Linked DNA regions of Rattus norvegicus. The protein of the gene in region 2 purifies or fractionates together with the protein of the main gene of each other region. This does not show direct contact. Links are inferred from orthologs where the notes say so. Each region holds a gene or a part of one and is shown on either strand. Other genes may lie near its edges. The genes, in order: Tgfbr1, Strap and Snrnp70.

What was found.
Region 1: the proteins of Strap (region 2) and Tgfbr1 purify together in Homo sapiens (affinity purification with western blotting; 3 studies listed by BioGRID and IntAct, with this or other methods). This does not show direct contact. The link is inferred for Rattus norvegicus from reciprocal best matches to the Homo sapiens genes STRAP and TGFBR1.
Region 3: the proteins of Strap (region 2) and Snrnp70 purify together in Homo sapiens (affinity purification with mass spectrometry; 3 studies listed by BioGRID and IntAct, with this or other methods). This does not show direct contact. The link is inferred for Rattus norvegicus from reciprocal best matches to the Homo sapiens genes STRAP and SNRNP70.

Annotation. Positions count from the first base shown.
Region 1 is NC_086023.1:66,448,018-66,452,239, forward strand, and holds the start of Tgfbr1 (TGF-beta receptor type-1 precursor), read left to right. Parts: upstream 1-1,380; 5' UTR 1,381-1,462; coding exon 1,463-1,547; intron 1,548-4,222. UniProt on the Homo sapiens protein: Transmembrane serine/threonine kinase forming with the TGF-beta type II serine/threonine kinase receptor, TGFBR2, the non-promiscuous receptor for the TGF-beta cytokines TGFB1, TGFB2 and TGFB3.
Region 2 is NC_086022.1:172,387,174-172,389,698, reverse strand, and holds part of Strap (serine-threonine kinase receptor-associated protein), read right to left. Parts: intron 567-2,525; coding exon 417-566; intron 1-416. UniProt on the Homo sapiens protein: The SMN complex catalyzes the assembly of small nuclear ribonucleoproteins (snRNPs), the building blocks of the spliceosome, and thereby plays an important role in the splicing of cellular pre-mRNAs.
Region 3 is NC_086019.1:104,995,824-104,999,474, forward strand, and holds part of Snrnp70 (U1 small nuclear ribonucleoprotein 70 kDa), read right to left. Parts: intron 1,063-3,651; coding exon 961-1,062; intron 1-960. UniProt on the Homo sapiens protein: Component of the spliceosomal U1 snRNP, which is essential for recognition of the pre-mRNA 5' splice-site and the subsequent assembly of the spliceosome. SNRNP70 binds to the loop I region of U1-snRNA.

The DNA.
Region 1 (4,222 bases), on a different chromosome or scaffold from region 2:
ATTGCCTTAGAAGCTAGTCAAATTTAGTCTCTGTAGCCTCGGTGCAGGGGAGCTAGGAACTGATCGTTCTGCAGTCCCAGAGAGCAGGCCTGTTCAGGTTCTGGCAGGTTAGGACTTGCTCAAGCGTGTCCTAGCTGGAGCCGAGAAGCAGTCTCAGACCCCAGCTCTAACCCCCACGGTTTGCTTTCATAAGCAGGATCAAACTCTTGGAGAGTGGCTGTAAAACAATTTACTAACAGATACTAGAGGCCGGCTGGTTCCTACTACCGAGCTTCATTTAATTCCGAGTTCAAATCATACAGAAAATAAAATTTTCTCCTTAAAAGGTTCTGCGGAAAAATGCTGTCGGTGCCATGCGGCCGCCTCCGTGACTGTGTTTGTGTCTGAAGAAAGGACTAGTCTGACAGGAAGAATTACAAATCTGGAGCTCATTTTGGCATCCCAGAGGGAAGGTGGGTGGAGCGTCTCACAGTAAATTAGGAATTCAGAATGAAAGCGGAGCTGAGTTTATTTGGGTTTTTAGTGACACCTCGAAATTATTACACAGGCGTGTCGGAGACAGCTCTAAGTACCTATGACTGCTCCCGCTTCGCCCCGAATCCCCCATCATTCAAAACCCGTAGGCCTCTCCGCTTCCACGCGGGGTCAGGAAGGTGGGAGGGAAGGAGAGCGGCGGGGACCCACAGTCTGTTTATACTGCCGAGAGACACAGGCCACTCAGGGGTGTGTCTGAGCTCCGCCTCGGGATTCAGAATCTGGGCTCCGACTTTGGGACTGGAATTTGAGGAGGGCAAGACTAGGTCTGGGGCGGCCATAGAGTGCGGGAAGAAATCGGGTTATCTTTGCGGGGAGGCTGGGAATTGAGGAGCGGGTCTAGGGAGAAGAAGTTGAACCGCGGACCGTATTGAGGGTCGGAGTGGCGATAGTTGAGCTTTGCCGGTGCAGGACTGTGCAGGGAAAGTCAGGGTGGGGTTGGAGTAGAAGAAAAGAGCGAGCAACGTCCACAGTCTTTCCCTGAGCAACTCTTACGGGCACACCCAGCGCTTAGTCCGGACTGCGGGCTCCCTCGGGCGCGCAGGCTGGACCCTGCCCCCACCCGCCGGTAGAGTACGAGCTACCCTGCTGTGGCTGGAGTATAGGCGCCCAGCGGTGAGGGGGCGTGGCCAGAGGCCCAGCAGTGCGGAGGCGTGGTTAGAGGCAGAAGTCCAGGGCCGCTCATTGGCCGCCCAGGGGCCCCGAGGGCGGGGCTCTCCGCTGGGTCCCTCTAGGGCGCTCGCGGGCGGCGGGGGAGGCGGGGTCGGCGGGAGCTGGGCAGCCAATGGGCGTGCGCCCCTCGAGCAGTTACAAAGGGCCGGAGCGAGGCCGCAGCGGCGGCGGGGAGGTGGGGCGAGGAGAGGCGAGGCTTGTTGAGGAGAAGCTGAGGCCGGGGCCGGGCCGGGCCACAAACAGTGGCAGCGGGACCATGGAGGCGGCGTCGGCTGCTTTGCGTCGCTGCCTGCTTCTCATCGTGTTGGTGGCGGCGGCGACGCTGCTCCCGGGGGCGAAGGGTGAGTGGCGGGCGGGTGGCTGTGGGGCGCGCGAGCCGGGCCCGGCCTCTGGCTCGCTTCAGCTCTTTCTCAAACATGGCGCGGGGCCGGGGGCGCAGGTGGCGGCGCCGGGCCGGCCGAGCTTTCCTGACCCGGCAGGCGCCACGCGAGCCGGGGCGGGGAGGAGAGGCGGGGCGGGGGCGGTGTCGAGCGCGGGTGGCCGAACACCGAGCGGAGGCCTGCCCTCTTGGGCTCCCGGGAGCAGCGGCTGGCGAGCCTGCTGAGGTCTGTGGCTGCCCTCGGGGGTGTGAGGCCGGCGGGGACCGTGGCCCCCTGATTCCACTGCCTAAGTGCTCTCCGGCCTGAGACTGTTAGGGCGTGGGCGGGCACCGGCGTGGAGGCGCTCCGGGGCTCGGCGCGTGGAGGGCTCCTCGGAGGGTCGTAAGGGGCGCCGTGGGCAGAGATCCCGGGTGGGCCGCACTGCTGTGAGTGTCGGCGCCCGCCTAGGGCGACTTTTCTTCAACCGGGGGCTTTGTGTGAGAAGCAGGCGCGAAGATGCGCGGAATGTTCTCTCTTCGTGCGTCTGGGAAGAGTTGAGAGTTCAGTAACCAGAAGATTGCCTTGCTAGTAGAAACTTGAACGTTTGCTCACTCTGCAGACTTGGGATCGTTTGAATGGGAATGATTCTGTAGAATTGATCAAAGATTTCTTTTTCTCGACGGGATCGTTGCTTTGGGTGTATCGTTTCCTTAAGCAGTAGTCTTAAAATCAGACCTCTATGTAGCTGGCTTTTGAAGGGAAAATGTGTAGTTTTCCAAAATATTAAAACCGGCCGTGATACGGTTGTCACCCCGTGGAGGGAAGATTGAAAAACTTAGTCCGGAACCGATTAAAATAGGAGAAAGCAAAATACTGAGGCTCAGATTAGCAACTAAAATACAGTGAAAATACATGTCTGTTGCTGAAATTGGATAACATTTTAAAAAGCAAAGCATACCAAAACAAAAATCTCTCCAGACTGTGGATGCCAGCTGTTATTAAACTTAATAGTAACTGTTTATTGGGAGTTGATTATAATGCAGATGTAAAAGGCACAGTATCTCGGGGCACAGAACCCTCGGGGCTACCAGTACTTGTCCTGTACATTGACTTGAAAACTGAGGTGCAGGAGATTACGTTCTTAGTAAGTGCAGAAATTAATTTGTACTTAGGCCTTTCTGGGCTCAAAATCAGTGCACCTGCTATACCGTAGCATAGCCCACTTAAAGAACAGTTGATATTTGACACTTAGAACTTAGCCATCAGTTTCTTAGTTTACTTGAACTTGAACAACCTAGTACTTGAACATTCCCTTCACAAAGGTCTTCATTAGAAGATACCATGGGTTTTTGACATTGGCTTAGGAAGGGAATAACGGTGGACAAAGTGGGGGAATTGTTATAATTATTCACCAACTATAAGTGGCCATATCTCTACAATTATTTGAATAAAGTAATTCTTTTCTACCTAAAACAAAGCAAGACACGTTCATGCATTTAGCAGTATTGACTTAGATGCTGAGAAGGTTGGTCCGTGTCCTGGAGGATTTTATTACTCAAAACCTAGACTAGTACTTCATAAACTTTCCCCGTTTGCCATCCTCTTTTCTCAAAAGATTGTACGTGACCTTGAGTACAAAATGTAGAAAGCAAGTATATAATTCAGATGTGCTGATAATAGATCATAAATGAAATTATTTTAAAACAATTCATTGGTACATACAATTTTACTATTTATTAAAGATTCAAGCACATTTTCATAGTAATGAGATGGGTGAGTTTATTTTTACTTAAAGAATTAAATCATCCAATGCCAACGACTCCATATAATTGTTTAGGGCCATTTCAGACATTGTTGAAAATTCTCTCTTAATCACAAGATGAAATTTATTTAATAATTTTTTATTTATATAAGTATGCTGTAGCTGTCTTCAGACACACCAGAAGAGGGCATCAGATCTTATTACAGATGGCTGTGAGCTACCATGTGGTTGCTGGGAATTGAACTCAGGACCTCTGGAAGGGCAGTCGATGCCCTTAACCACTGAGCCGTCTCTCCAGACCTCATTTAATAATTTTTAAAATGAAATTTAAGTCAGCAACTTAAACAGCAGTTTTTAAAATCAGACATTCTAACACAATACAGTCGATCTACAATCGATCACAAATATACCACTTTGATATACATGAAGGATGAAAGCCTTTTCTGTATGTATGTTTCTGGAAGAATAGAAAACTTTTTATTTAATAAAAAACATTAAAACTTATAAAAATAAATGTTAGCACTGCATAACACGACAGCAAGTGTGTTTAGAACCAAGGGTGTTGTGAAGTTGCATCATGTAACACAAGCATGCATTGCCAGAAACACTTCAGATTCATTACTCATTTGATTTTTAATTAATTTGGAGTGTTATACATTCAGAAGTCCTTGAGTATTGCCAGATTGTTGTATGACCCAGCACCTCTATAAGGAGTTAGGATTCAGTTTAAGAAGCTATGGCCTCTTGGTCCTGTGAAGGCTGGATGCCCCAGTGTTGTAGGGGAATGCCAGGGTGGGAAGGCAGGAGGGGAGCGGGTGGGTGGGGAGCACCCTCATAGAAGCAGGGGGAGGGAGGATGGGATAGGGAGTTTCCAAAGGGGAAGCCAGGAAAGGGG
Region 2 (2,525 bases):
AGTCACTCTGGGATTAGTAATAAGTATTTGGAGTTTTTGTTTGTTTGTTTGTTTGTTATTTAAACTTAAAAACATGTTTTCAGTGGTAAGGATCAAGTAATACTATAAAAAATTGAATAGATACTTGTAAATTCTTCATACTGCCTTCTAACAAGCTTTATTTTTATTTTATTTTATTTTTTTATGTATGCTTTTGAACCCCTGGGCCATCTCCCGAGCTCCTTTGTAATAAATTTTGCAATCAGTTCATTCAATTCATCACATAAAGGTCATTGCTCAGTTAGCAGCATGATTTCACTTGCTTATGCCATATGCAGAACTCAAAGTCTAAAGGCAACTGACACAGTGCAACAGAACTAGTGAAGGACACACAGTCTCCGCAGCATAATTTGGTAACGTTGAAGAGACGTCCTCACCAGGAAGCACGCATTTCCACAGGCCGTAGGTCTTTCCAACCACAGTTTGCCACAATCTCAGTGTCCCATCTTCAGAACCACTGGCATAGAGTTCACCATCGGGACTGAATCTCACACAGTGAATGGGGCCAAAGTGACCTTTGTAGGATTCTGAAAACAGTGAAGAGTGGGGTTATCAGATTTAAATACATGCAAAGCTAATTATTAGGGTAAATAGCACTGTACTAGAAGAGATACTGTCCGTCTGTACTGCTGGGGATCATTTCCCTAGAATTAGCCCTTTCCTGTCCAATGTCAGAGGCAGCCCTGTCAACTTTCACTGATCCACACAGCTCTTGTCTGGAAGCCATGGGATCTGATGGCCTGAAAGATGGGGTGGACCAGTCTGATGCTGTGGACAATGCTATCGCGGTTTCAGTATACAAAATGCAGCTGAGGGGAAAGAAAGGCCTCTGACTTTTTCCTGCAGACTCTCTCAGGGTCCCCTGAGAGACCCTTAGTATTATTCACTATGAGTCACTCTTTTGACCGTGTCCCAACACAGACTGTCTTTCAAAAGTGGAAAATGAAGTTTCATGTCCCACTGAGAATTGAGAAGCTGTCAATAAAGACTAAATTCTAGACTAGAGCTCAAGTCTGTGAACCTTACCCCAGTGTCCAGGTCCTGAACTCACCCTGCTTTAGAGCCGATCCATCCATGCCTGCAGAGGGCCAGCAGATGGAGCTCTTTACAGACGCCAGCCCCTGACTCCCTAACCAGGCCATCTATCCGGCTTCCTAATTCCACCACAGTGCTGACACAGGTTCAATCCTGACCCCGCATTTTAATACCGGGAATGTAGTGATTGGGAAGGTTTTTCTACTGCAGGAAAACTTACGAATCTCTCATATATAATCTTATGCCTCTCCATCTTATTCTGGAGTTTCCTCCATCTCTGACTAGCCAGGGAATAGAAGCATCTAAGAGTAGAGGGACCAGGATGGAATATTTGTCTATCATATACAAACCTCCTGGATTCAACCCTCAGACACAACCCCAAAAGTTCCATGAACAGACACTGGATGAGAACAACTGTATCCAAAACCCACACCTATCTATCTCTCCTCTGAACACAGCCTGGATCATCAACGCTGAGCACCTCCTCCGCCCCAGCCCAGCCACAGTTCTCTCAAGCCGAAAAAAACGGACATGTGACTGAACATTCTATAGAACTGACTTAAGCAACCCCGGTCCACCAGTTTCTCCCAAGAAACAAAATAAAGCCGTTTCTTGCTCTTTGTGTATAAATCCAGTGAGTTAGCTCTGTGGGTGGAAAACCAGAATACTTAGATACAGGTAAGAAGAGACGCCAGTTTACAGACAGAAAGGGAGATTTTTAAACTAAAAGCAAAACACAGTTGGACTTGGTTAGGTACTAAAAATTGTGCTCTCTGACCTATCTAGCATACTTACTATTCTACACATGATAAAGTTAGGATGTTTCTGCTTCAAATTAATCATACATCAGCCATTCTACTTCTTAAGAACTATTAAACTAATAATAATATATTATATATATAAAATAATATATATTACATGTCAATATATAACTCATCTTAATATTTTATATATTACTATATTAAGTTATACTTTAGTTTCGATTTAAATTATATTAATTACTTTATGTTAAAATAAATTAAATATAGTAAATATTATATGTTATAATCCTATATATATTACTCTTTGTAAAGGGTCCTTGTTAAACCAATGATTCCCCCACCATTCTCTAGAGACTTAGGTTGAAGAAAGGAGGCTGGGTAAACAGGATTATATACCTGTTCTCTCCTTAGAAAGAACAAAATACCCTTGCATATGTTTCATATTTGACTTGAAATACAAATATTCCATCCCAATAAAGAATCAAAAATCAGTGAACTACAGAACATCAGTGTAAAGATAAGACTCAGATAAGAGGAAATGAGTTCAGTCTTGTCAGAGGGTCTGTATTTCTATCAAAAATGGATAACACCTTTGTTTTTGAAGGTATGAGTTTCCAGTTTTAGTTAGCTGGAAAACTTACTTTCAACAAACCATACGTAAATACCTAAGGCATTCATAATATTTTGATA
Region 3 (3,651 bases), on a different chromosome or scaffold from region 2:
GAAGGCTCATAGTTTATTATTTATATTAGTATCAACAAATCCATACACCAGAACAACTGACTTGTTTCTGAGACTTCATTCAGCACAGCACAAAGTCTCAAGAATTCACCCTTTTTAAAAGAGAACTGTGGGCCCCTGTGGTTGGGGTGGGAGGTTAGCACTGGCGCACAGGTGCAAGCAAAGCCAGGTGATGCTGCCTGAGACAGAGTGAAGCACCAGGACAAAGACCTAACCCAGCTCGGGCCTAATCTGAGGCATCAGCAAAGAGACTGACATCTGTCTACAGAGTGAGCAGCAAACTCTCAAAGTCCAGCCTCAAGGTCTTAATGAGGATCTACTGACATCACAACCCTTGGGACTGAGACAAGAGCCTCAGTGGTTAAAGCTCTTCCAGAAGTCCTGAGCAACAGTGTCCACACAGACATAAAATAAATAAATTAAAAAATTAAAAAGACCCTCAGATGCATTTCAAGACTTGCCACAACAACCCCCATGGAGATAGCCCATAACCACCACAAAGAAAGTGAGGGGACAGATGCAAGATCAGAGCACAGGCTGCTGCTGCTCTCTTGCTTCAGGTATGAAGCCAGGAGCTGGGCTGGTGACTCAGCTAGAGAGTGAAGAAGCGAAGCCATTCAGTGAGAGCAAGAGCAAAGCTAGAGCCAGTGATTCTCTCCAACCCACCCCATGATACCAAGTACACTGGGCATAAGGTGGCTGAGGTCAGTGTGGAAGTTTCCAACACTGCACAAAAGCTGCTGCTGGTCAATCACTCATGCAGGGAAGACCAGGGCATGCTTGGGTGCTCATGTGTAGGTGTCTGTGTGCACCAGCGTCCAAAGCCATGAAGATGATAAGAAGACAAGCTGGAAATGGAGGAACAGGCAGATGGGTTGGGGAGACTGAAGAATAATAATCTATATTCACAGGCCCAGGTGCCCCGAGGGCAAATGCACTCACCTAGCCGCCGGGGCCTCCAGCCCTTCACAGTCCGGCCCCTCTCCACATCCACGAGGACCCTCCTGCCATCTATCTTCTTGCCATCTGCGTGCTTGTAAGCGGCTGCAACAGATGTGGGGGAGGGGGAATCCCCAGAAGGTCCTCTAGTCAGACAAGGCTCCATACAACAGCATCCCTGCCCCTCAAACCACATCTGCACACACACACTCACACTCCCACCAGTCAGCCAGGCAACCAACAGCCAGACAGCCCTCTCCCCACCCTGAAGGGCCTGCTCCATCCAGTGCCTGATTCCTTTCGGGCACCCCCAAGTGCTATTGGGGGGCAAACCATTCACCCTGGCCTCCCCCAGCTTTCACATGATGGAGCAGCCCCCTCCTGCCAGGGTGGCCAAAGTTGCTGCAAAGAAACTGGAGGTTAGCTGAATGCTGGCCTCTGCTGTGGGGAGGGCTCCTCCACACCCAGGCATGCACCCTAGACACCATGCTGGGCAGGAGGCTGGCTAGGCCCCTCCACACCCAGGCATGCACCCTAGACACCATGCTTAGGCAGGAGGCCCACTGGGCCCCTCCACATCCAGACCACACCAGGTTTTTTTTTGTTTTTCATTTTTGGTTTTTCTGTGTGTTTTTATAGGGGAGGTCAGTGTGAGGAAACAGACATCAGAACAGAAATGAACAGGAGTGGAAAGACCTTTAGGAATTGGCAGGGATACAGGTGGGTGCTGAGCTCCCCAGGGGCCTCCAAGGACCCTGGCTGGACCCAGAGGGACATGTGCCGTGCTACTCAAAATCCCTGCCTTACCTGAGCCGACTGACCCTGCCACCACCTACCCTGGCCAGCTCTGTCCTCCAAGTCGAGGTCAATGGCCAGCAGGGCCTGCAGCCCAGCCTGAACCCTCAGGGAAGTTGAGGAACATAAGACATAGTGGGATGGCCCAGAGTCCAGGCCTGTGATCAGGCAGGGCTGTTAAGAAGGCCAAAAAGTCCCTGTCCAGGTCCCAGTCCTGGCCTAAGGGGCTGTGCTCACCAACCACAATACCCTGCCCCACCCCTGCCCACTCCCCCCCAATAACAACCAGAGGAAGAGAAAAAGGTGCCATTTACCGATGCCGGCCTTGCGGGTGTCCAAACCGAGCGGGATGGGGGGGGCCGGCAACTCCTGGGGGCCTGGCGAGGAGGCGGGCTTCCCGGGGGTGGGGTAGGGGTTGGGACACGGGACTGCTTACCTGGAGACCCCAAGCTTACCTGAGTACTCATACAGACCCCACACCCACCACCATTAGGGCAACTAAAGCTACAGGGAACCCTGAGAGGGAAAGACTACATTTCCCACATCATCTAGAAACACATGGATGAAGGAAAAAAGGGAGCCTCAGAATCTGAGGGATGATTTGCACCTGGGCTGGGAGACCTGGGTCTATCTATCCTGCCCAACCTAAACAGTGGGCCTCAAGGCCTCAAAAACACCTACTGCTCACCACTGCCTCAATCACCTTCACTAGGTACAGGCCCAGCACTCAATACTAGGGTCAGGTTCTCCATCTCGATTCCATGTGCCCTCCCACTAGTGGCAACAGCTCTGAGGCTAGCACACAGGGGACACACCTGGGATCCAAGAAAATGCTTCCCATGCTCCAGGAGGGGCCAATCGGCCCCTAACCCCAGAACAGAGTGAGAGGGGAGGGAACTTAAAAGACTTCAGTCAAATACAGGAACCCTGCTTAGGTTCCCCATCCCAAACCCCAGATGTCCAACCCAGAAAACAGCAAGAAGACCGTGTAATTGTGTCAGTCTAGGCTTCTCTCTCTTTCCCTCTCTTCCGCCTCTGTACAGATTTAGTAAAAAACTACCACACCTTCAATTGTTTTAAGGCCTGCTCCACCCCTCCCATACCCTGAACCCCAATCCATGCACTTTGGGGAGCTCAGGCACTGGACATCACAGCTGCCTTCTCAGGAGGCTCCCACCACACCAAGGAAGACAGGAGGGACACAATACCCCAAACTAGAAATCAGACTTTCCTAGACCACTATGGTGACAACTCCACAGAAGTCACAGGGCAGGGAGGGTTGGGCTGAAGGGCTCCACATAGAGCCCTGGTCCCAGGACACCCCAGCTTTAGGATTACCAATATGACCCAGATGTCAGAGGCTGGGTGGAGCCCGACTATGGAGGCAAATGCCTCTCCCATCGAGGTCCACCCTTCCCCTTGGGATCAGTGAGATTACCAGAGAGAATGTGGATGGGGGCAAGAGGGGTGGAGGGCACCCAAATGAGGAAAGGGCTGTGGGTAAAGGGAGACTGAAAGGTGACTAGGGTGGGAGGGGAAGCCTCGCTGTTCCTAAGCTGCCTGGCTAAGCTGGGCTGGTGTGCGGTGCTGTGATCTTACCCATGATACAAACCCTTATACCAACCATACACTGAGGTGTTGTAAGGGGAGCGTAAGCATCAGCTGCAAGCCAGCTGCGTGGTGGCTGCAGTGACAATAAGAACAGTCAATTAATACGGCGGCCCCTGGACACGCCGCAGCCCTGCCCACCCCCACCCACCCAGCCCTACCCGAATGGACGCCGCATAGCCTCAATGGGGCTTTGTAGCTGTGGGAGTGGGTACTAAACATGCCCACCAGATCACTGCTTGATGAGGACTAGGTGGGGGTTGGAGTGGGGAGGTGGAGGGTCGGGTGGCC